Linked DNA regions of Mytilus edulis. The protein of the gene in region 1 purifies or fractionates together with the protein of each later gene. This does not show direct contact. Links are inferred from orthologs where the notes say so. Each region holds a gene or a part of one and is shown on either strand. Other genes may lie near its edges. The genes, in order: ATP-dependent RNA helicase me31b-like and protein LSM14 homolog A-like.

Region 1 (11,284 bases):
AACAACATCATTCTGTCTACTGTCTATAGGTTTCTTGGTTGTGGCCATATTTATCAGTGTTTATCTGCAAATGTACAGAAAATGAAAACAATATGTCAGAATAAAATGGGAAATGCATCATGTATATCAATGAGTCAGCTATGTGACAAAATACACATATTAAATGCACTACATTGCCAGTGGCGGATCCAGAACTTTTCCTAAGGGGGGGCCCGCTGACTGACCTAAGGGGGGGCCCGCTCCAGTCATGCTTCAATGATTCCCTATATAATCAACCAAATTTTTCCCACGAAAGGGGGGGGCCTGGGCCCAGCCCCCCCCCCCTGGATCCGCCTATGATTGCTGATACTGCTTGCATTGCCTTATGTTAACAATTACAACCCTCTAATCCTATTCAATGTACAAAGGGGAAAACAATCCCAAATGTAAATAAGTTTAAATATAGAGACAATATTTCATTGAATTCAAACTCATATGTCGAAAATAAACAGACAGACGTGCATGTAACACCATGACCAAACAAGAGGCACTCATTTGTTTGATGGGTTTTATCTTTTGATTTTGCCATTTGATTAGGGACTTTCCGTTTTGAATTTTCCTCAGAGTTTAGTATTTTTGTGATTTTACTTTTGTTAACTTATGGACTTGTAGGAGTCAATATTTGCAATTCTTTAATTTAGGTTAAAAACATGTATTTCTTGATTAAAACTAATTGGACTTATTCATTGTTATTGAAGTCATAAATTGTCTTAAATTAAATGGAGACAAATCTTTGAATCTACAAATTAAGACCTCTATGAGTCAAAAGCAGATTTAGACTTATTTATGTCTGAGCTCTGACTGTTTATATATAACTTTATTTTAATGAACTGTTGGATATTTGTTAGTCTGCAAAACTATACAGTTACAGTCTTTTGATGAGGTAAATATGTGGTTTTATTGACTTTTGAATAACTGATATACACTGAGGCAATGGAGGCCGAAGTGAATATCAGTTTTTTAAGTCAATTTAACCACATATTTACCGAAACCAAGGAATTGTATATTCCTTGCCGAAACAAAAGACAGTAATTGTTTTATTCCATATTCTGAGAGAAATGTATACATGTAATGGAATGTAATTACCAAAACCAATTGTACATCAAAGGATTTTTACCAAAATTATACATGTAAAAGTATGCGACATTTTGTGTGGTGAATAAACTTTTTCCTTCGGTGAATATGCTTATTTATTCAAAATCTGATTCATATATAGAAAACCCTATTAAAGTTATATCAATATGGAATAATCTAAGTTATTCTATAAAAAATCACTTATTGTCTGCCAGTAAAACACACAAAAATTTGAAAATGAATAGGTGAACTATAGGTGAAAACCGTAAAATCATTGAAAAATTATGTAAAGCAGTGATTTTTGTTTCCATGATAATCAAAAGTGTTTATTCTGAAAACATAAACTAAAACTCTATGCTAAATCAAAATGAATTGAAAATGTGAAATGTATGCGATCTTTCTTAATGCGACTTCTAAATACTAAATAAATTTAAAGTGTGTGTCTTACAAAACAATAACATTACAATAATAAATAGTCTAGGACATCAAATTGTGATCAAAATATTTCGTCCCAAACACAGAGGTTAGTAAAGTGTTGATTCTATCAAGTAGTTTGGCAACTTTGTACAATTCGAGTTGACCTTTCATTTTTATCTCACCTTGCCCGAAGGACCAAGTGGGCTTTTCTCATCACTTTGCGTCCGTCGTCCGTCGTCGTCATCGTCTTTTAACTTTTACAAAAATCTTCTCCTATGAAACAACTGGGTCAAATTTAACCAAACTTGGCCACAATCATCGTTTAAAAAATGTGTCCGGTGACCCGGCCAACCAACCAAGATGGCCGCCATGGTTAAAATAGAACATAGGGGTAAAATGTAGATTTTGGCTGATATCTCTGTATTTAGAGCAAATCTGACATGGGGTAAAATAGTTTATCAGGTCAAGATCTATATGCCCTGAAATTTTCAGATGAATCGGAGAACCTGTTGTTGGGTTGCTGCCACTAAATGGGTAATTTTAAGAAAATTTTGCAGTTTTTGGTTATTATTTTGAATATTATTATAGATAAAGATAAACTGTAAACATCATAATGTTCAGCAAAGTAAGATCTACAAATAAGTCAACATGACCAACATGGTCAGTTGACCCCTTAAGGAGTTATTGTCCTTTATAGTCAATTTTACAAATTTTTCGTAAATTTTTGTAATCTTCTACAAAAATCTTCTCCTCTGAAACTACTGGGCCAAAACTTAGCCACAATCATTATTAGAGTATGTAGTTCAAAAAATATGTGCGGTAACCCGGCCAACCAACCAAGATAGCCGCCATGGCTAAAATTAGAACATAGGGGTAAAATGTAGATTATGGCTTATAACTTTGAAACCAAAGCATTTAAAGCAAATCTGACAAGCATTTAAATTGTTCTATCTGCCCTGAAATTTTCAGATGAATTGGACAACTGGTTGTTGGGTTGCGGTCCCCCAATTGGTAATTTTTAAAGAAATTTTGCAATTTTTGGTTATTATCTTAAATACTGTTATAGATAGAGATAAACTGTAAACAGCAATAATGTTAAGCAAAGTAAGATCTACAAATAAGTCAACATGACCAAAATGGTCAGTTGACCCCTTAAGGAGTTATTGCCCTTTATAGTCCATTTTTAACAATTTTCATTAATTTGGTAAATTTTTGTAAATTTTTACAAAATATGTTCAACTGTAACGAAAGGGCCAAGTTTATTATAGATAGAGAAAATTGTAAGTAGCAAGAATTTCAGTACATAAGGATCTACAAACACATCACCATCACCAAAACACAATTTTGTCATGAATCCATCTGTGTAATTTGTTTAATATGCACATAGACCAAGGTGAGCGACACAGGCTCTTAAGAGCCTCTAGTTTGAATCTCAAAAAGTGGCGGGGTTTATTTCAAAATGCAAATAAAATCCGTATAGGTAAACTATACGATTGATAATAAGAGAATTGAGGATTTTAATACAAATTTATTTTAAAGAACGTTATCCACCGATTCCTTCTGCTTTGTACGGGCCGGCTAAACTCCATCGTCTACTTTCAAAGAATTCATTAAGTAACATTTCAGAGAATATTAGCGATTTCAATTTGAGTTCAACGAGTCTCGTTGATCCCTGATTTTAGGGACATTTGGTCAACTGGCATCAGATAACATTCTTTTGATGAATGCTGCACCTGAATCGAAACACTACGTCTAGAACAAATACGCTGGGGGTGATACTACATTTATTCGACCAAACATCTTTTATTATCTTTTGAAATTGAAGTTGATGTTTTTTTATAATGAAAGATATAAAAGATGTAAATAGAGGAGAGTGTTTAAGATGCGACGAATTTATTAAAAAAAGCAAAACAAGAACGTGATGATGAGCGTGATCCAAACAAAATTGTATATATTCTAATGTACTTGACGATGAAAAATATCCAAAAAGTGAAAATGTACGTCACACTAAAACTTAGAAACATGTTAACGAACTAAAATTAAAAAAACCAAACATAAATGACTTACAAAGGCCAGAGGATCCTGACTTGGGACAGGCGCATAAATGCGGCGGGGAGAAATATGTTATGACCATAATGTGATATCTCAACCCCCCTCTAAACCTCTAGCCAATGAAAATAAACAAACACACAGCAATACGCACAGTAAAAGTTCTTAAAACTCAGTTTAAAAGAAGTCCGAGTCCGATGTCAGAATGGGTAACCGTTAAAAAGAAATTAATAATTCATATGTTTCCAGATAGATTTTTTTTATAAACAAAACAAATAAGAGGGACTTCAGTATTATCAAAATTGCAAATAATTTGTTCGTTAACAGAATAGTTTTTTTAAAATGTCGTTAATACTTACAAAATCAAAAACCTTTATTGACATATTTGTTTTTAATCAAATGTTTTTTTTTGTTATCTTCAGAGCGAATTTTGAGAAACAGCTTAGAATAGTAATATGCAATTAAAATTTGAACGATTTCATACTTAGTTCAGTGTATGTTCACTTGTTTTTGTTAATATGTCTTTTTATGAGGGGGGATAGGAGGGGTCCTGATCCCGAAATCCAGGGCTTGAAAACACGAAATCCCGAGGTCCCGAATTTAAATAAAGTAAATCCCGACGTCCCGAAATCCAAAAAAAAATAAAAAAATTCCCGAATCCCGAAATCCCGAGCTTAAAAACACCTGATCCCGGAGTCCCCCCTCATTTATTGAGTTAAGCCATTCCAATTAATGTTTTATAGTGTATCTTTCTATGTTGTAATGTTACACTAATGTTTCAGGTAAGGGTTACGGTTGCTACCTATTTTAAAACGGTTAAACATGCTGCATATGTTTGCATCTGTATTAAGTCAGGGACCTGATGTTCGGTGGTTGTAAATTGAGTATGCGGTTCTTAAAGTGTTTCTCGTTTCTCATTTTGTATACATAGATTATGCCGTTGGTTTTCCTGTTTACTAACGATTGGTTTTAAAATAGTCAATTTTGGGGCCCTTTATATGTTGCTGTTCGGTGTTTGCTAAGCCGTCCCCGTGATGAAAAGCGTACTATATTGATTGATTGGTTAAATATTTCTCAGTCATGTCCTGTGTTTGAATTTGTTTATTAGCTTTTTGGTCATGAATGTTTGTCTCTAATATTTAATTAACTGTGCATTTGTATTCAGATATCGCAGATCAAATTTATTCGTTCATTGTTTAATCATACGTTTTTTGATTGAATTAAGTCTCCCAATTGATATTTTATCGTATGTTTTTCTTTGTTGTGATGTTATGCTATTGTTTCAGAAAAAGGGAGAAGGTTTGGATCCATTAAAACGTTTAATCCCGCTGCAAATGTTTGCACCTGTCCTAAGTCAGGAAGTAGTTGTCGTTTGTTTATGTAATATATACGTATTTCTCGTTTCTCGTTTTGTTTATATAGATTAGACCGTTGGGTTTCCCGTTTGAATGGTTTTACACTAATAATTTTGGGGCCCTTTATAGCTTGTTGTTCGGTGTGAGCCAAGGCGCCGTGTTGAAGTCCGTACTTTAACCTATAATGGTTTACTTTTTAAATTGTTATTTGTATGGAGAGTTGTCTCATTGGCACTCACACCACATCTTCCTATATCTATGACCTATAATGATTTACTTTAACAAATTGTAAATTCGATGGAGAGTTGTTGCATTGGCACTTACACCACATCTCATCATATCTAATTAGGTCTGCAATATGGAATATGCCAGTGTTGGAAATCAAATTTGATGTGATTTATTAACAGGCAAAGAACCGAAAGCTTTGTTAACAGATTATGTCTACTGTTGTTTTGTTTAAATAGTAATAAATGTCCGAAATATTTGTATTGTTCCTACGACTGAAATTTCTTTGATTGCAATTTATTTAACTCCCATAAGAACGGTTTTTACGATCAGTTTTAGAAACTATATTGTATCCAAAATGTTATTTATAGAATCGGTTCTTGATATGTTATCAATTCTCTTGATATTATCAATAAGACCGAGAGGAATGGCTGTCTGTATTTTTATGCCCCACCTATGATAGAAGAGGGGCATTATGTCTTCTGGTCTGTGGGTCCGTCCGTTCGTCCATTGTACAGTCCTTCCGTCAGTTCGTCCAATCTAATTAAAATATTGATCTCTGACTACGTTATACCTCATATGGATAGTTGTTAGATCTCATATGTAGTATAACGTAATCAGAGATTAATATTTTAATTAGATTGTCCGTTCGTCCGTCTGTCCCGCTTCAGGTTAAAGTTTTTGGTCAAGGTGGTTTTTGATGAAGCTGAAGTCCAATATCAACTTAAAACTTAGTACACATGTTGCTTATGATATGATCGTTCTAATTTTAAAGCCAAACTATACTTTTGACCCAAATTTCACGGTTCAGACCACTGAACATAGAAAATGAAAGTGCGAGTTTCAAGTTAAAGTTTTTGGTCAAGATAGTTTTTGATGAAGCTGAAGTCCAATCAACTTGAAATTTAGTACACATGTTCCCTATGGTATGATCTTTCTAATTTTAATGCCAAAATTAAATTAGACTTTTACCCAATTTCACGGTCCATTGAACATGGAAAATGATAGTGTGAGTAGGGTATCCATGTAAGTAAGTAAGTAAAACTTTATTTGGATTCGGCATATTGACAAACAATACAAACATATAAAGCTCAAATGAGCTTTTCACCGAATATAAACATATGCAATAACAAATAAAACAAGGCATGCAGTATCATGCAATAAATAATAAAAAGCAGCACCAAAAATTAACTCTAAGCAAATAGCATATCCATGTATCTTGCAAAATACCAGAACATATATATGAAGCACCAATTTTTTTTTAAATTTGCAGTTAAAAATATTTTTTTTTTTAATTTATGATTTATAAAGTAAAAATTTCAAATCTTTCAAATTTTAAAATGTATAAAACAAAATTTCAGTTGCAATGCAAGCTGTTAATGCAGCATAAAAAGCATAAATATTGTAACAGAAATTATCTACAGGCAGACTCGCAAAAACATTCCGTTCCACTCCAGGACTGCCGGAACAAGACTCTTAAAATGTGAGAAGCAGTCCTGAAATGGTCTGGTAAGCTATTCCACAAAGAAGCAGCAGCAAAACTAAAAGATTTTTTTCCACCTGAGATAGTTCTAACCTGTGGTATTTCCAAAATATTACTGTATCTAAAAGAATAGTTTAGTTTAATTTGGAGTAAATTTTGTAAACATACAGGAGCCAAATTATTTAAAATTTTAATACAATTTAATTCAACTATTTCGTACAGACTTTTTGATTCCCCATGCTGCTTTTTAAGTACTGTTTTAATTAGATGTTAAAACTTATTTGTCTAAAAATGTGTTCCCTGTTGTTGACTACATGTACCATTAATCCACCCTTTAGCAGAAGATGACAACCGGAAGTTTATTTGTTTTGCAGATTTCTTGGGTCAAAGTTCAAATATAGTTTCAAAAATTTCCTTAGCACTAAGATAAAACCTATTTTCTAATTTAGTTTGAATTGAGTATCTTAAATTAGTTTTATTTAAACAAATTTAAATCTGAAACTAAAGCAAAACAGCGATATAAGTCCCATTTGTTCAAATGGAAACAAAACAACAACGCCACCTATCGCTCAATCGGCCATTTTGAATGTTATTGGTAAGTTTGGTGGTCAAGATATAAATCCCCAGCCATCGGACTTATAGATAAACAAAGAACTCTCAAATTTTACAATCATTGAGTTGAAACATTTAATTACCTGAGAAAGTATTTATTTTACATTGAAAGATATGTTCCGTTGTAATTTAAGTAATAATTCATCCACTCTATAACGAAACAGCTGATTTTTTTTTTATAATTATTACCAAATATTTATTGCAAAGCCAACAACCTACGCGGATTTTACAAAAGTATATAGAGTTTTCATTATGTATTAAGTACGACTGTTAATTCAAGATATGAAAATTGTGCTGGAATTCATTAGAAAATATACGAACTCCCGAGACCGGTATAAATAACCGATTTCAATAAGACGCCAAAAAGAAATACCTTTCTGTAACCCGCATCAGGTTCCAGTAAGACACTCACCGTCTGCCAGTTATAAACAATGACAACCATAAATGAGGATGTTGAATTTGGATTATCTTTTTTTAATTTAACTCTAACTATAGTCTTTCAAAGAAATTTTGACCCCCCCCCACCCCCCCCCCCCCCCTTTCTCAACATCTATGTAGTTTTGAACTCGTCAAATTGTTGATGATGATGGAAGAAGGTCACACATTAGCTTATTTCGTCATAAACGCACAGTAACCAAAATAAAATCATTCTTGTAATTGTTTTATCCTCCTAACATGCCTAAAGGGATAGAAAAGAATAAAATTGATAGGTTCAAGAGTTTATTTATAACTGAAATACCGTGATTTACCATATTTTGCCAATTTCCATTTAATAAATTACATCATCAGCAAAAAAATTGTTTTATTCAGGCCAAATTTATATCAGAATGATATCATTGGCAATGTATTTGTTTTAAATTTAGTCCAAATAATTATGTCTGGCAAGGCTATTTTATTTTTTTCTGGGACACCTTCCTACAAAGTAACGCTGAAGCCATTTTTACGTCTGGACTTAGAGTGCAAATATTTTTGGAACTTTGAGACCTAATTTTGACATTTTCATTGCAGACTAGAAATTTTCACGTAGTTACAAAGTCCTACCTCTTTGTGCTTATTGACACAAAGTTTTCCTGAAATATTTAAAAGAAATGATAAAATGAGATATACTTCCATTTCAGTGTTCCAGCTAGGCCGTTTTCAGAGGGCGCTGCGCCCGCCCCAGTCTGCACGGTTAGCCACTAGTCCGATGCCCCAGACTAGTAAAATTTCATTCGGACTAGTAAGTTTTTGCAAAACTTTGTTTGGCCCAATAAGAAAAATGTCAGAATATTGGTCTTCGGACTAGTAGTTGAAAAAGTTTTTGGTGCAGACTGCCGCCCTTTTCCGAGTGGCGCCCTGTGCCCTTTTTACAGTTTCCAGGGCGCCCTGCCTTTTTTGAAGATTGATTGCATATTAATTTGCGTATTGATATGATACGCTAATTACTAAATTTTACCTGGGGAAAAGATTATGACTTTGTTTACCACCCCAAGCTAATCAATGGTTACAACTGGTGTCATAATCTGTTGTTATAGGTAATCCGTTTATCGGATGGGTCATTAATGATCATCAACATTAATTCGTTCAAATAGAATCGGTCAGTCGGCAATTATCTTTGAAGAAATGTGCATACAACAACTTGGGCATAATTTGCGATGTTTACCGTAGTTTCATGGAAGAAACGTAATGACAGAAAGTTGGAAAACCATTATAAACTCGTTGAAGACATTGTTTTACTTGTTTTCTGTAAAATAAACAGAAAATTCAGACGTATTTGTCATTGACTGCCTTCATTTTTGATACGAAAATAATAAAATCGGCCGCCATATTGTGATCATATTTACATCATATTTACGTACTGTTTATAATCCTCCAAAGAAGGAGCACACCCGAATAAAGAAAGATAACTCAATCTGATTTTTTTCCTAGCATTGAGTAACCCATTTACATATTCTAAAATGTGTCTCCATACTTCTTGCTTAAGAATATATATGTTTAGGTATTTATTTTGAGTTATGGGAAAAGTTAAAGAGGGTCTTAGTAGCAGTGTTGGTAGGGTGCCTTGGTCATCTTTTTCTGTATTCTTTATTTTTGATACTATTTTTCACTGTTGCTTTATATCCTAAAATTGTGAATTTACTGAGCACAGCTGTTTTGTGCTGTATTGCCATCAAGCACAGCAGGGGTAGAAAGGTGAAACTGGTAAAATGTGGTAGACCATAGAAACAGTATGAAACAGATCTCCTTTCAAAACATACTGCATATAAAGTTCAACTGTGCCAAGCAATGATAAAAAAACTTGTGTGACAAGCTGCTTGACAAGTTTTTCAGCCTTAAAAGTAGAAAGATAGAGTTCTATATGGGCTAAAGATGTTGTTCTTGTATAACCTGTGATTCAACGAATAAACACAAATGTTTGATTAACATCTTTTATTAAAATATGCCCTTTCATATTATCATATCGCGCATTAAATGCCCTTTTTCAGGATTGGCACCCTGCCCTTTTGAAAACCTAGCTGGAACACTGCATTTGTTATTTTGAGGTGGGCAAATATTTATTTTGTTTTTCAATTAATTTTCCAGAATCTAAAGAAACTCCACTTCCAGTGAAAATAAAATAGAATATTAAACTCGGTCAAATCTGATGGACCCAAATTTCCAGAATGTTGGATTTACATTATCCCGCAATTCGGGTCACCAATGTTTCATATATCAAAGTGGGGTTACTACTGGGAAAAAAATCTTTCAATCTTTTAAATGCAATTTACATAGGTTTTATTTTGTGTATTTTCAGATTCAGATATCGCTGATGAGTTTCACATAAGTGAATATTTCGCTGCGTAAATAAATAAAAAGGAGTTTTGGATACATAAATGATGGCTTCAGCCAGAATGGAACAAAATATGAACCACGCTGGACCTCCACCCATGGATGGGAAAGGGAATCCTGGCACAGGGTATGGTCAATTTATGAACAACCAACAGAGAAAAGTGAAAATCAAACAATTTAAGATAATCAATGATCATGCATGAGTGAGAAATTAGTTGTAAACAGCAATAAGACAGCAATTCTAATGAAAGTAATCACAAAGCATTCTTTAATAAGCAACCACAATGAATTGCATATATTTTGAGATCACATATATTGATTACATACAAGAACTATTTTTAGCTAAAACTAAATCTTAGAAAACATGGTAAATATCTTGCTCAAAGATTTTGACAGCTACACATTTGTAAAAGATATGAAAATAAGACTTGTATGATTGTCAATGAGACATTCAACTAGAGACCAAATGATATAAATGATTTTAAGTAACCGTACAGCTTTCAGCAATGAGCAAAAACCCATTCCACATAGCTTTAAAAGACCCTGAAATGACGCATATAAAACAATTCAAACAAGAAAACTGATGACCTGATTTATGTACAAAACAATGAATGAAAAACTAAAGGATATTCTTCAACAAGTCATTGAATCACTTAGTACTGAATGTTAAAGGTTACACAAGTTTTTTTTTATGCCAAACCTGATCACCCTAACCTGGGACAGTGGCATTACAGTACAACATTAGAACTAACTATGAAAATAGTTCTAAAGGGTTAACTCATTAGATTGATACAAAGCAAAAAGACATACCCAACTTGGCAGAGTATAAATACGTTCCCACAACAAAAAACAACATGTTAAGTACACATCTGAGAGTAGTTGAAGTTACTTAAAGCTATTTCAAAGCAAGGCTTTCCAAAGAAGGCGGTAGACGGCAGATTTCCACAGTTTACAGTCGCTTCAAGTGCAAGCTACTTCACTGATAAAAATATAAATTCAAAAAGAAAAAATATCTTTTTCAATTGTTTTGTTCTTTTTCAATTATTTTGTTTTATTTGTGCCAGAGCTTCTGGGGGCCTTCAGCGGCCCCCCAGACCCCCTGCCATTTTGCCCCAAGCTGTTAAGCTTGGGCGTTTCGACTTCGCCGAATGCATGTTACAGCCACCTGCCACCTATAATTGTAATTTAGCCTACTACTTCAATTTCAAGGGAAAGTCCTGTC
Region 2 (11,627 bases), about 12 Mb from region 1:
CATCAGAACAGGACCTGATGTGTGTACCAATAAACTCTGAATTGCTGGCTAATATATTCCTACTCTCCTCTGTCAGGTTTACACCACCCATAGTAGCTACATCATTTATATCGTCATCATCTCTGTAAATAATTATCATTTATCCTTCATAGCTACATTATTGATAATATCTTCATTTAATCTTCTATGATTTAAAAAAAAAAATTGGATTTTTTGATTGCATTGGTTTGATTAGTATGTATAGCATGTAGAAAACCAACAGGTTACAAATGAAATGGATGTCAGCAATTATATATGGCCTTCAACAATTTATTAACCCATACTGTCGACAATAAAAGGAATGCATGTATTGGGATTCGGGAAGACAAGGAGGAAAACATTTTATGTAGTTGTTGATGACTAGAAAGGTGTAGGGTATAAGTCAACAGCAACACAATGAAAAAGAAGTCAACTAGAGAGTATTAATGTTTTCAAATGATATAATATATTCATATCCTACCTATATTACAATTTAATAAATTAAAAAGACAAAAAAACTTGATATAATTAAAACCTGACATTTTCCATATACAAAATTAAGTAAAAAATCTCTAAAACATTCATTTTGAACACTATACAGCAAATTTTCTAAGAAAAACTCTGAACAAGGGACAATACTCACTTCAATGATTCATATTTAGGTTTAGCACTATGGGGTCTACTGGCTGATGGACTTGCCACCGGGTGTCCTGCCGTCATTACTGTCTTAGGAATAACTGGTCTCTGTTGCATTCTAACTTGGTTAGGTCTTATATGTTGTAATCCATCCATTGGCTGCTAAAAAGAGGCAAATATCTGAATACATTGATTTATAATAATGATATTCAGACGTACATAGTGTGGATTTAAGGGTAACTGTCTCACTCTGCCCCCATTCATTTAAGATTTTGAAAGTAATTTCGTTTTAAGATAACCCAAGAAAACTGCAACCTTGCTCAACTGGTCCTTAAAATATCAGCTAACATTTAACTACATTTAAGATAATTGGTTTACGAAGAAATGATATGGCAACAGGAACTTCCACTCTTACCAAGATAACCAAATACACTTTCCAGGCAGCTAAGAAATTTACAAAAAATGTGTCCAAATTATGAATTTGAAAATTCTAACTAAATTTTCAGTTTGCTTTTGAAACTATTGTGCAATAACTTGTTGATCTTATATACCACAAAAGTCTCACTGCTATAAAAAGTGGCCTGAGAAGTTAAAATTTGTTTTTGTATGGTCTCTTCTCTAATTCCAGAATGTATCCATATAATTACCTGCTGCAACCTTATGTGGCTTGGGTGTGGTTGTATATTTGAACTACCGAATGCCGTGCCTTTCATAACCTCTATTGGAGGTGCTTTTACTCCTTCTATATGCATCTTATTTTCTAGCAAGGACTGCCGTAAATGTGGTAGACTTTTCTGAAATTATATCAATGTATGAGTTCACCTACTATTATATTTCTAAACAAGAAAATGAGCAACGTATGGATTATGTAGAAAAGATATAGAGAACATAGAATGCAACTTAAAACTATAAAGAAATGCAAGTTTAATGTTGTTTATGTTTATTAAATAAAAAGATAGAATAAAGCTAGTTAAAACTTCATTTTGTAGAAACATTGAAACTGATTAAATTAATCTGAAATTAAGGGAAACATTTAATTTAAAAGGTGTATATATAAGTCACTCCTATAAAGGCTATAGTTACCTTGAGAAATGGCACTAAATATGGTTGAGGTGATGATTTAAGTTCTTTCTGTAACCTTTCAGTAAATTGTTCTGGTTCAACTTTATTGTCCTGTAATAAATATTTAATATATGAGTATATATCGGAAATTACAAAAATATGCATGGTCTAAAACATTGATAAATGTGTGAGCACTGTGGTAAAACATAGCATACTATATGAACTGTAGTAAACATGTTTCTTCACACAATTTTATCTCATTATATTACGAAGTAGGAAAAGATGTTTATTTAAAAAAAAAATCTGTGAATAAAATCATCATGGATACCAGGCTTTAAATTTTGTACCCCAGATTTGTGTTTTTTTCCTAGAAAAGACTCATCAGTCATTCAGTGATGCTCGAATTAAAAACGTGAAAAAGGCCAAATAAAGTATGAAGTTGACTAGCATTAATATGATTAAGAACCCAAACTTTTACTCAAAGTTTAGTAAAATGGGCTAGTGATATATATATAGATTTTAGATAAATAATAGCAATAAAATGCATATATATGTCATTAACAAAATGTCAAAAAGTTTGTAATCCTCTGTAAAAACCTCTCCAATAAATATGCAATCCTTGCAGAATCAATTTTTAGAAAAAAAAACCAGTATCAAATATACTTACTATTAGTCCTTGGATAAGTTCTCTGACATTCTTCACAGTTTGTTCTGGTTGACTTGCTGCTAGTTTGATCAAAGTTGACAAGAAATTTTTACATTTTTTCACATTATCTAATGGTTGTTGATGATGACCTGGTAATGAACCTGTAAACATAAATTCAGAAATGATGATAGAAAAACAAAACATTAATTATTTCTATTCATCATCTAATAAAATGCTTAGTTTAAGAATATCAAAATCTACCTGGTTTATCACGATATTGGTGCATTATTGTCCCTGAATATTAACCTATCTGGTTCAGAACTGAAAAAGGTGTGACAGCTTTATTTATCATGTCTATAATATCATTTCCCTTTATTTGGTATGAAAATAAAACTGTAAAAGTTAAAACTTCGAAATTTGGAATAGGGTTTATTTTTGCTGAAAATCATGCATGGAAAAGAGACTGCTTTATTTATCATAGTTCCTGGAAACAAAGTCTGTCATATTACTGTCATTGAGTCATTGTGAAGAGAATTGGTTTTAAATTATATTTTTGTTTTATCTGAACTTTTCTTTTTAACAAGTATTGAAATAAAATTTTCATGACAATTTTGAGTTATCTACCTTGACTTGCAGATGGTGGTTGAGATACAACTGTAGGAACTGATGATGTCACTGATGGTTGAGTATTTGGTCTGACTACCCTCGGAGGTTGTGCTTGTTGTGGTTGAATAGTCACAATCTGTGAATTTGGAGGGCGCTGCTGATGTGAACTTACAGGTGGCTACAAAGATAATGCATGTACATGTAAATTGAAATACATAAGAATTCAAGGTATCAAGTTGCATATATGTACATGTTGTATGTTGGCCTATCATGCCTATTGTCTAAATATGTCAAATTAAATTGTTACCAACATGTAACATATAAAATTAAGGACTACATAAAACACGGCAGGATATAAACTACACCATGCAGAAAATCTGGAAGAGAATGTGATATTGAAATGATTTAATAAGATAGTATATTGGGGGGAATGAGGCAATTGACTCCTTGTTAATTCATAGCTCCATCTGACGTAATCAGCTTGAATTACCTGCTTGCTTGAACTAATTAAAGTTCATTCAATGTATAATTATTAATTTCCAATAACTTTTGATAATACTATAAAGTCTGTCGGGCAGACAATCAATACATACCCTGACATACTGTATTCTTTGGCCTTGTGTAGTAGGTTGCTGAGATGCATGTAAAGCAGGGACAAACATCAGCTGACCTTGTTCATTTCTCATCAGTACTGTCCCAGGAGGAATTTGCACACCAGGCGGTAATGTAATTGTATTCTAAAAAAGTAAACAGGAAATGTTAGTCTATTAGTATAAGGTTGAATGAGGTATATTGATATCCGACATTTAAACAACAAATCCAAATAAAAGGAAAACAGATATAATTCATATAAATATTGCAATTGTCAAATGTCGGCAGGGTTTCTATGAATGCACTAAAAATGTATATTCTTGAACTAAAACAGCATTGCTCTACACAGAACTTTATCTAAAAAACTCACAAAGGTTTGACTTTTTTGTTTAAATATTTGAAATTAATCATATCTTGCAATATATTTATTGTGATATTTAGAAGCTACATGTATGTATTATAAACTTTAAGAATTATATGAATTACACATTTTTAAGAAAAATTATCAGACAATTAATATAAACCAATTTTAATAATTAAATCAAAACATACACTTGCTTCTTTATATTTCTTAAAAGAAAACGAACGAAATTACTAGGATGCAAAAACAGACATTCCTGAGCAGGGTTGACTGAGGGGCAAGCAATTATATTATTTTTTGAATGGCCTTAGAAAGGTGTACATGTGTTGTCTCCCTTTGATCTGGATAGCTGTACAGTTTTTTATCATACTTTTTTATTTTCTGTGATAATGTTACAATCTTATATATATTCATTTGTACAGGTGGGTAGTAAACAATTGAACTTTTTTTTGTAAATTTGTCAAGTTTTTACACATGATACATGTAGTTATCATCATTATGATATGATACATGTACATGTAGCTATGATAGTACTTATACTATCTGGCCACATCATTTTATGTGTATTTAAAATTGCAGTGTATAATTATGTCATTGCCAAAGAAAAATTACAAATTGAAGCATGATAATTTAGATTAATTAAAGTCTAAAAAGAGTTATTCCCCTTTTGATGACAAACTATAGAAATTGTGCTAATACAGTGTAGATTGGTTCATGTGCATGTTAATTACTGTACACATATATATAAGGTAAATAACAGTTGCTTACTTTAAAACAAGTCATATATACGGGTAACTGGAGCAAAAATTGCTTGTGGCTGTGCCCCTAAACATGTTTGAATATATGAAATCAAGGCAATATAACATTACACCAAACATTAATCAAGAGCTTATTGTATATCTTTCATAGCTGTTTTATACATTAACATACATGTACATCTCCGAAAGATACAATGTACATGCATGTAATCTTTACATTTTCTTTCAAAATTTTGTTACTCTTCTACATGCCCATGTCAGATTAAAGTGAGCTAGTCTAGAAAAAATAAACAAAGTAGCAAGTGGTATATAACTTACAGGAGCACCACCAGGTCTTGGAGCAATGTTTATTTGAGAGTGACGAGCTGGTGTAGCTATACGGACTGGTTGGTGTTTTCCATGAGGCACCTGTACTATTCCAGGTGGTCTATTTGAATGAGCACTAACATTAACAACTTGCATTTGTCCTGAATTTTGTACAATTTGTGGTCGCATTACTACATGTTGCGGACCTGTTTTCACTGTAATAACACCCGAATGGCCTTTGATTGGAGCATTTACAATATGAACATTGGTTGCATGTGTAATATGATTTCCTGATGTATATACACTATTTTGAAGTCCTGTCACTGCTTGTATAGCTGCTGTCCTTGGTTCATTTTTCACACTTGATACAGGCATATTTTCGGTTTTGACAATATACTGTGAGCTTATTGCTGGTTCTTGTTTAACACACACATTTTGTCCACCTGGAATTTGTTGACTAGATGATACTTGAATACAGTTTCCTTGTGACATTAAAGGTTTATGATCTCCTAATATTGCAACATTTTGAATAATAGCACTATTGTCTGGTTTGATTGCATGCTGCGAACTAGCGGATATGGCTGGATTTGAATTTGGCGATGGAACTGGTGAATTCCTTGCATTCTGAAAACCTGGAGAGTTTGATACTGTTCTTATTATGTGAGGGGACTGAATACGATTTGATTCTGGTATTGGAGAACTTCTATTCACTGTCAATGAGTTCACATGTGTACTAACAATATTGCTTGTTTGTGATGAGTTCATAGGATTTAATATTGAATTGATTCCAATCAACTGTGAGTCTGTTTTTGAGGAGGGAGACTGAACATTTAAATTATGAGAATTTGTGAAGTTTTTGTGAGCTGATACAGCTTGTCCATTGGCACCTACTCCAGTAGCCGTGTTGAACACTGAACCACTATTTTGTGGTGTTGAAGACCTTGTTGTGCCAATGTGATTGTTATTGACTGAGGCATCTGATAAAGAATTAGACACATCCTTATTGGATGGGGAAGCTAGACGTGCTTCTAAATTGCCAACTAAGGCATTAATTGCCAGTTCATCTACAGAACTATTAAGAATATCATCTAGAGGGTTGACAGCCGCCATTTCCCTAGCAGTAAATTTTTAGACTGAAGTACGCAGGCGCAAATCACAGATTTGTGGGACACTTTTTTCAAAAGTACGCCCTCTCGTGACAGAATCAAAACATCCGCCATCTTATATTCTGCTGATACAATATTTTGGATGAAGCAGATAAATCCGTTGGCATCCTCCTTTGTTTGAAAGTTTAGAGATTCCTTGCCATCATGAGTGGGGGGATTCCATATCTTGGTAGCAAAATAAGTCTTATTTCTAAAGCAGGAATTCGATATGAGGGTATTTTATATACCATTGATCCGAATGAATCGACAGTTGCATTAGCGAAAGGTAATATAGATAGCATTCCAGAAAATGAAATATATGCATGTTGTGAAATTAACATCTGCAACAAAAAAATAAATGCGTTTGTCGTTAAAAGCGACAGCATTCCTTTACCTACTCAAAAGTTTGGTGCCATGAAATAACCGGAAAGTTTATGACAAAAGCGATAGGTTTTGCACAAACGACAATGGGTAAACCCAGCACTTCCACTTTGGGAGTAAACACGGTAACGTTTGAGCTTTAGACATTATCATGCAAGTAAACATACTCGACTCTGACATAAAAAAAACGAATTTATGTTGTGAAAGATACCTGGCTTATCCTTGTGTCATGATTTAATATGCCCTACACTGGTTTCGTCTTAAACTAAGAAGATGCATCAGTGGCACTTGATACATTATGGTTAGAATGGATATCAGGTCCGTTCGCCCTAATAACATGTTCAACTTGGGTCTGTTAGCCTTGAGTTCCTTCGTCCATAGAGTCTGTTCGCCCTACTAAAAAAAATATTATTCTTGGCATTGAAGTTAAATAAACTTATTCAGATATTTCTATGGTATAAATTCTTGAAATTTATGGAATTCGAAACATGGAAATATTTAAAAGTTTATGGCTTGTTTAGGATTATTAATTATTCAATCACAAAATAATGCTCACTGATTGTGATACTTGTCTTTTGATGGATTAATAATAAAAACAAACGTTTTGTTTTGATAAAATATTCAGCTTCAAATTAATAGAAACAATGATGTACGAACTGTAAATCATGAGCAGTGATCTGGAAGTTTTTTTTCTCTATGGGCCCAGGGCCCCTCAAAAATAAATTCAATGGGCCATTTTAAAAAATAATGGGCCATGTTGTCAAATGAGTAGGCCATTTGAATTGACTTCTGTAAAAAAAAAAGTATCAGTATATTTTGGCAAAGAGATGTTGATACTTAAATAAAATCATGAATGTAAGTATCAACATCTCTTTGCCAAAATATACTCCATCATGGATATTGTTCCTGTGATTTGGTAATTCAATTTCAATGAATATACAATAACTTCTTCCAACCCCAATAATATTTAAGTCGACCTTTATTTACAATGTTTAAACTGGTACGGTTACCTTGTTCATATTCATGTTTTTTGTACATTAAATTTGGGTCTTCGTCGATACCATACTTCTTTCAGACGTTCCGTATCTATCAGAGGACATTTCGGGCATTTCCTCTGCACTTCTTGTATTATTGTAACTTCATCACATTGACAAGAATAACAAACAGTATAGAGTACCATTAATTCATAGAACAAAACAACAAATCGCTGAAGTCATGTTTACAAAATGTCAAAACGAGCCAAAGACCAAAAAATGACAAGGACACTAAGCGTCTGTTATGGAGATCAAAAACTATATTCCTAAAAAGTCTTTGGGGTTCTTCAATCGAAATAATAGCAAGCTAAACTAAATGAGATTATTATTAGAGTTAAAACTCGTCTGTACTAGCCAAATTTCACAAATTTAAAGTTGTTTATAAAAATAATATATCATGAATGATGGTTAATTACGTTTTTCGGGTTATCCGTTAGACCGCATGGTTCTATTATTACAATAGGAAAACACCGAGACGTTAAATTGCATGGTTCTATTATGATAGGAAAACACCCGAGACGTCCCAAAAATATATAGGTGCTCCTATTATTAGAGGAACTTTACACAGTTGTGTACACACACATGGCGGCACGGAACATTATCGGAAATTCATTTGACGATATCTAAACGTTTCGAAACGAAGTGAAAACTATCGTGCGCCACGTGGGCGCTTACATTTATCAATGTATGCGCCATTGCTTGTCAATATGCGCTATAGGCGCAAGGCGCACGACCTTCCCGATCACTGCATGAGACAGATTTACAAGTTCATTTATTCTTATACTCTTAGACTAGTCTCAGTTATACTGCATACATTGATTCATGATTGACTGAATACAAATTACAATTTTTTTGTTAACAAATATCAATAAAGATAAATACATTCATGACATTGTTTTCCAGTATTCTACTCTGCAAATCAAAGGGAAAATTATAAATTGGTTGTGGCAATATAAATAATGTCAAATTTTAACATATTTTGTTCAAATATTTAGAATTATGCAACTAGACAACACTTTGAAAAAAATAAAAATCAGGGCGAATGGACCCTGGGCGAACAGGTATCAGGGTGTACAAACAATAAGATTTATACCCATAGACCATTAAGAGTCTAACAAGTCGAATTAAGGAAATAGCCACTTCAATTGTTCCACAAAATGCAATCATTGCTGAAAGACTTGAGTGACTATCGATTGATTGGACTTTTGTATTTGCATGTGCTTTGTTTAGGTTGTTCTCATAGAGGTCTGCATTATTATATATTTATAGTCTTACTAGCAATGTTACAAAGATGAATTAGGAACAAGATATATAAAATGATTTATAGTATAATGATAATTATGTGTGCGTTTTCAGGGATCTCCATGACCTGTTTTGTGATGGTGAAGAGATATCTTTTGAATATCTTCTGCACCTTCAAATGAATATATAAAGGAAGATGTGGTATGAATGCCAATGAGACAACTAACATCACCACAAGAGACCAAATGACACAGAAATTAACAACTAATGTTCACTGTACTGCGTTCAACAATGAGCAAAGCCCTTACTGCATACTAGTCGGCTATAAATAGCCCTGTAATGACAAATTTAAAACAAATCAAATGAGAAAACTAAAGGCCTAATTTATGCCTTAAAACCCTGCCATTTTCATGACCCTTAGGCTTTTTATATAATTATCCAAAGGGTCCTCCTGATTTATAGACTTTTAAATCCATCAGTCAAACTTGTGATTTTATAATGACGTATGCAACAAGCACAAGTACCAAAGAAGACATAAAAACAGAGTTTAATTCCAAATCACATGATTACAGCAATTATCAATAATATGGAATAACATTACAAATATAAAAAAAAAACGAATATATATTAATATTAACTGCAACTGATCATGAATAATCTGACAAAATTCTTATGTTGTTATTCTGAATTTATTTCAAAGTTTACAATCAATTGATGCATCTGGTTTTCCAGTTTACATTTTTTGTACATTCAGTATAAAGTAACGCGCAATTTTACACCAGTACCCATACCCTCCTTCCTTGATGGGTGCATTTTACATAGACAAATATAATCGTATAATATAATCAAAATGAGGATGTTAATTTGATGTATGCCTTTTTGTGCTTCTTCGTTACATTTGTTGTTTTTATAGTGATTAAGATGATAACATAATGTTGACTGCTGTACCCCTATTTTTGACATTTTTACCTATTATGTCTGTTTGTTTTGTTCACGCATCGGTGACTATATAATGGAATTTGATGCGACTGTCATACAAGTGAGAGGTTTAGCTAGCTATAAAACCAGGTTCAATCCACCATTTTCTACATTTGAAAATGCCTGTACCAAGTCAGGAATATGACAGTTCTTGTCCATTCGTTTTTGATGCGTTTTGTTATTTGATTTTGCCATGTGATTATGGACTTTCCGAATTGATTTTCCTCTGAGTTCAGTATTTTTGTGATTTTACTTTTTGCTTAGTACAAATGTATATTTGTATCTAAGAACAAATGTATATTTGTATAACTTTCGCTAGTTAGTCATTAAAACTTTTTAATTGTTAATGTTAATCTTTCTTCAAGTTCAATGCTTTACTATTACGAAACTTCTTGTTGTTGATGCTGCAAATCAGCAATACTGATTCATGACTCCTGAATTTCTCAATGAAATATTTAAGCCTTAAACCATTACCTAAATAGCAAGAAAAGGACATGGGAACCTTGAGGACAGCTTGTGTTTACCGTTCCTTAATTAGAAATAGAGGAATGAAATACTTTGGCCCACTAGGTAGACGCTAAGTTTTGTCATGTTAAAAGTTCCTCCATCATTAAATTTTCATCCATGGAGATCCCTCTGAATGCAAAAGAAGAATTCTACATATACTGTTTGTCACGTTTCCAGACTTTGTAATAGTCAAGCCAACTCTAAATTCCGATTAATAAAAAGAAATCACAGAAATGTCATATAGGTTGGCCTATATATTTTGTGTTTGTAGGTTTTTTAATGCTGTAGGAAACACTTACTGGAAATTGGCAAACCATTATCATAACTCATTTGCTGTAAGAATACACAATGAGTCGAGGTAAGATATATAAATTTTGGCAAGTAGCCATGATATTTTATGTAGTTTGAACAATAATTATTCTTTCTTTTTCTATTTTCAGTTCGTTCATTTGGAACTGAAGATCGACCAACTGATCGTCCTGTAGCACCTAGAGATGAGATATTTGAATATATAATATTTCGAGGCAGTGATATCAAAGATTTGCATGTCTGTGAGCCACCAAAACCACAACCTCTGCAGACAACCTTACCACAAGATCCTGCTATTGTCAAAGTTTGTATCCCATTAATGTTTTAAACAATTTATATAGAGAATAGAATAGACAAGTAATTATCAAGGAGGTTGCACTTATATTGTCTTTTTAAGAATATTAATCAAGAGTAAAATCAAACTTTAGCCAAAGAATCTTGCTTCAAAATTTAAATCAATGAAAAATTGAAATTTATTTAATACAAGCAATAAAGTATGTTATGTCGAAATTTTTAAATTACCTATAACCATGATAACCACTTAACCAAGTTTAGGAATTAAAAAAAAGCCAATATAAAGTGCTTTAAGCCTTCTGGTGAAGGTCTGTAATCTTCTTTCAGTCTTCTCAATCATCTTTCCAACAGCAAGCGGCAGCAAGTAACAACTATGGGAATAACTCATCATATCAACCATTTGGTGGTCAAAATATGTATAATCAGTATGGTCCTTCAGCACCGCAATCTTTTGGTGGCCATCAGCAACAACAATCAGGTAAGTCCAAATAAATATATTCTGAGTAATTAACTGCAACTCGAGGGATGTCTTTTGTCAGCATAAACAGAAAGAATCTACTGTAAATTCAGAAATTATGGTGTGCATTTATTATTGTGATTTTGTCATTTAAGATCAACATTTGAGTTTTAGTTATTGATATGATAACCTTGTCACATTTTTGGCAATAATAAAAACATTGCAAAATTTTCTGAATTTACAGCATACAAATACAGTTCAAAAATGTTTGTTTAGTGTACCATCTAAAATTGATA

Evidence for each region.
Region 2: the proteins of ATP-dependent RNA helicase me31b-like (region 1) and protein LSM14 homolog A-like purify together in Caenorhabditis elegans (affinity purification with mass spectrometry; 3 studies listed by BioGRID, with this or other methods). This does not show direct contact. The link is inferred for Mytilus edulis from reciprocal best matches to the Caenorhabditis elegans genes cgh-1 and car-1.

What each region holds. Positions count from the first base shown.
Region 1 is NC_092348.1:72,001,462-72,012,745, reverse strand, and holds the start of ATP-dependent RNA helicase me31b-like, read left to right. Parts: upstream 1-6,995; 5' UTR 6,996-7,237; exon of another isoform or gene 7,238-7,345; intron 7,346-10,027; 5' UTR 10,028-10,106; coding exon 10,107-10,189; intron 10,190-11,284. UniProt on the Caenorhabditis elegans protein: Probable RNA helicase required for oocyte and sperm function. Also required to prevent the physiological germline apoptosis mechanism killing essentially all developing oocytes.
Region 2 is NC_092348.1:83,809,861-83,821,487, reverse strand, and holds the start of protein LSM14 homolog A-like, read left to right. Parts: upstream 1-6,160; 5' UTR 6,161-6,294; coding exon 6,295-6,415; intron 6,416-10,711; coding exon 10,712-10,884; intron 10,885-11,201; coding exon 11,202-11,352; intron 11,353-11,627. Other genes in the region: transcription initiation factor TFIID subunit 4-like, read right to left, coding at 1-122, 662-816, 1,302-1,448, 1,738-1,827, 2,384-2,523, 2,987-3,146, 3,562-3,705, 4,997-6,094. UniProt on the Caenorhabditis elegans protein: Transcriptional regulator. Involved in modulating embryonic expression of ATP-dependent chaperone cdc-48.1. May play a role in mRNA gene silencing, and RNA granule (P-body) assembly.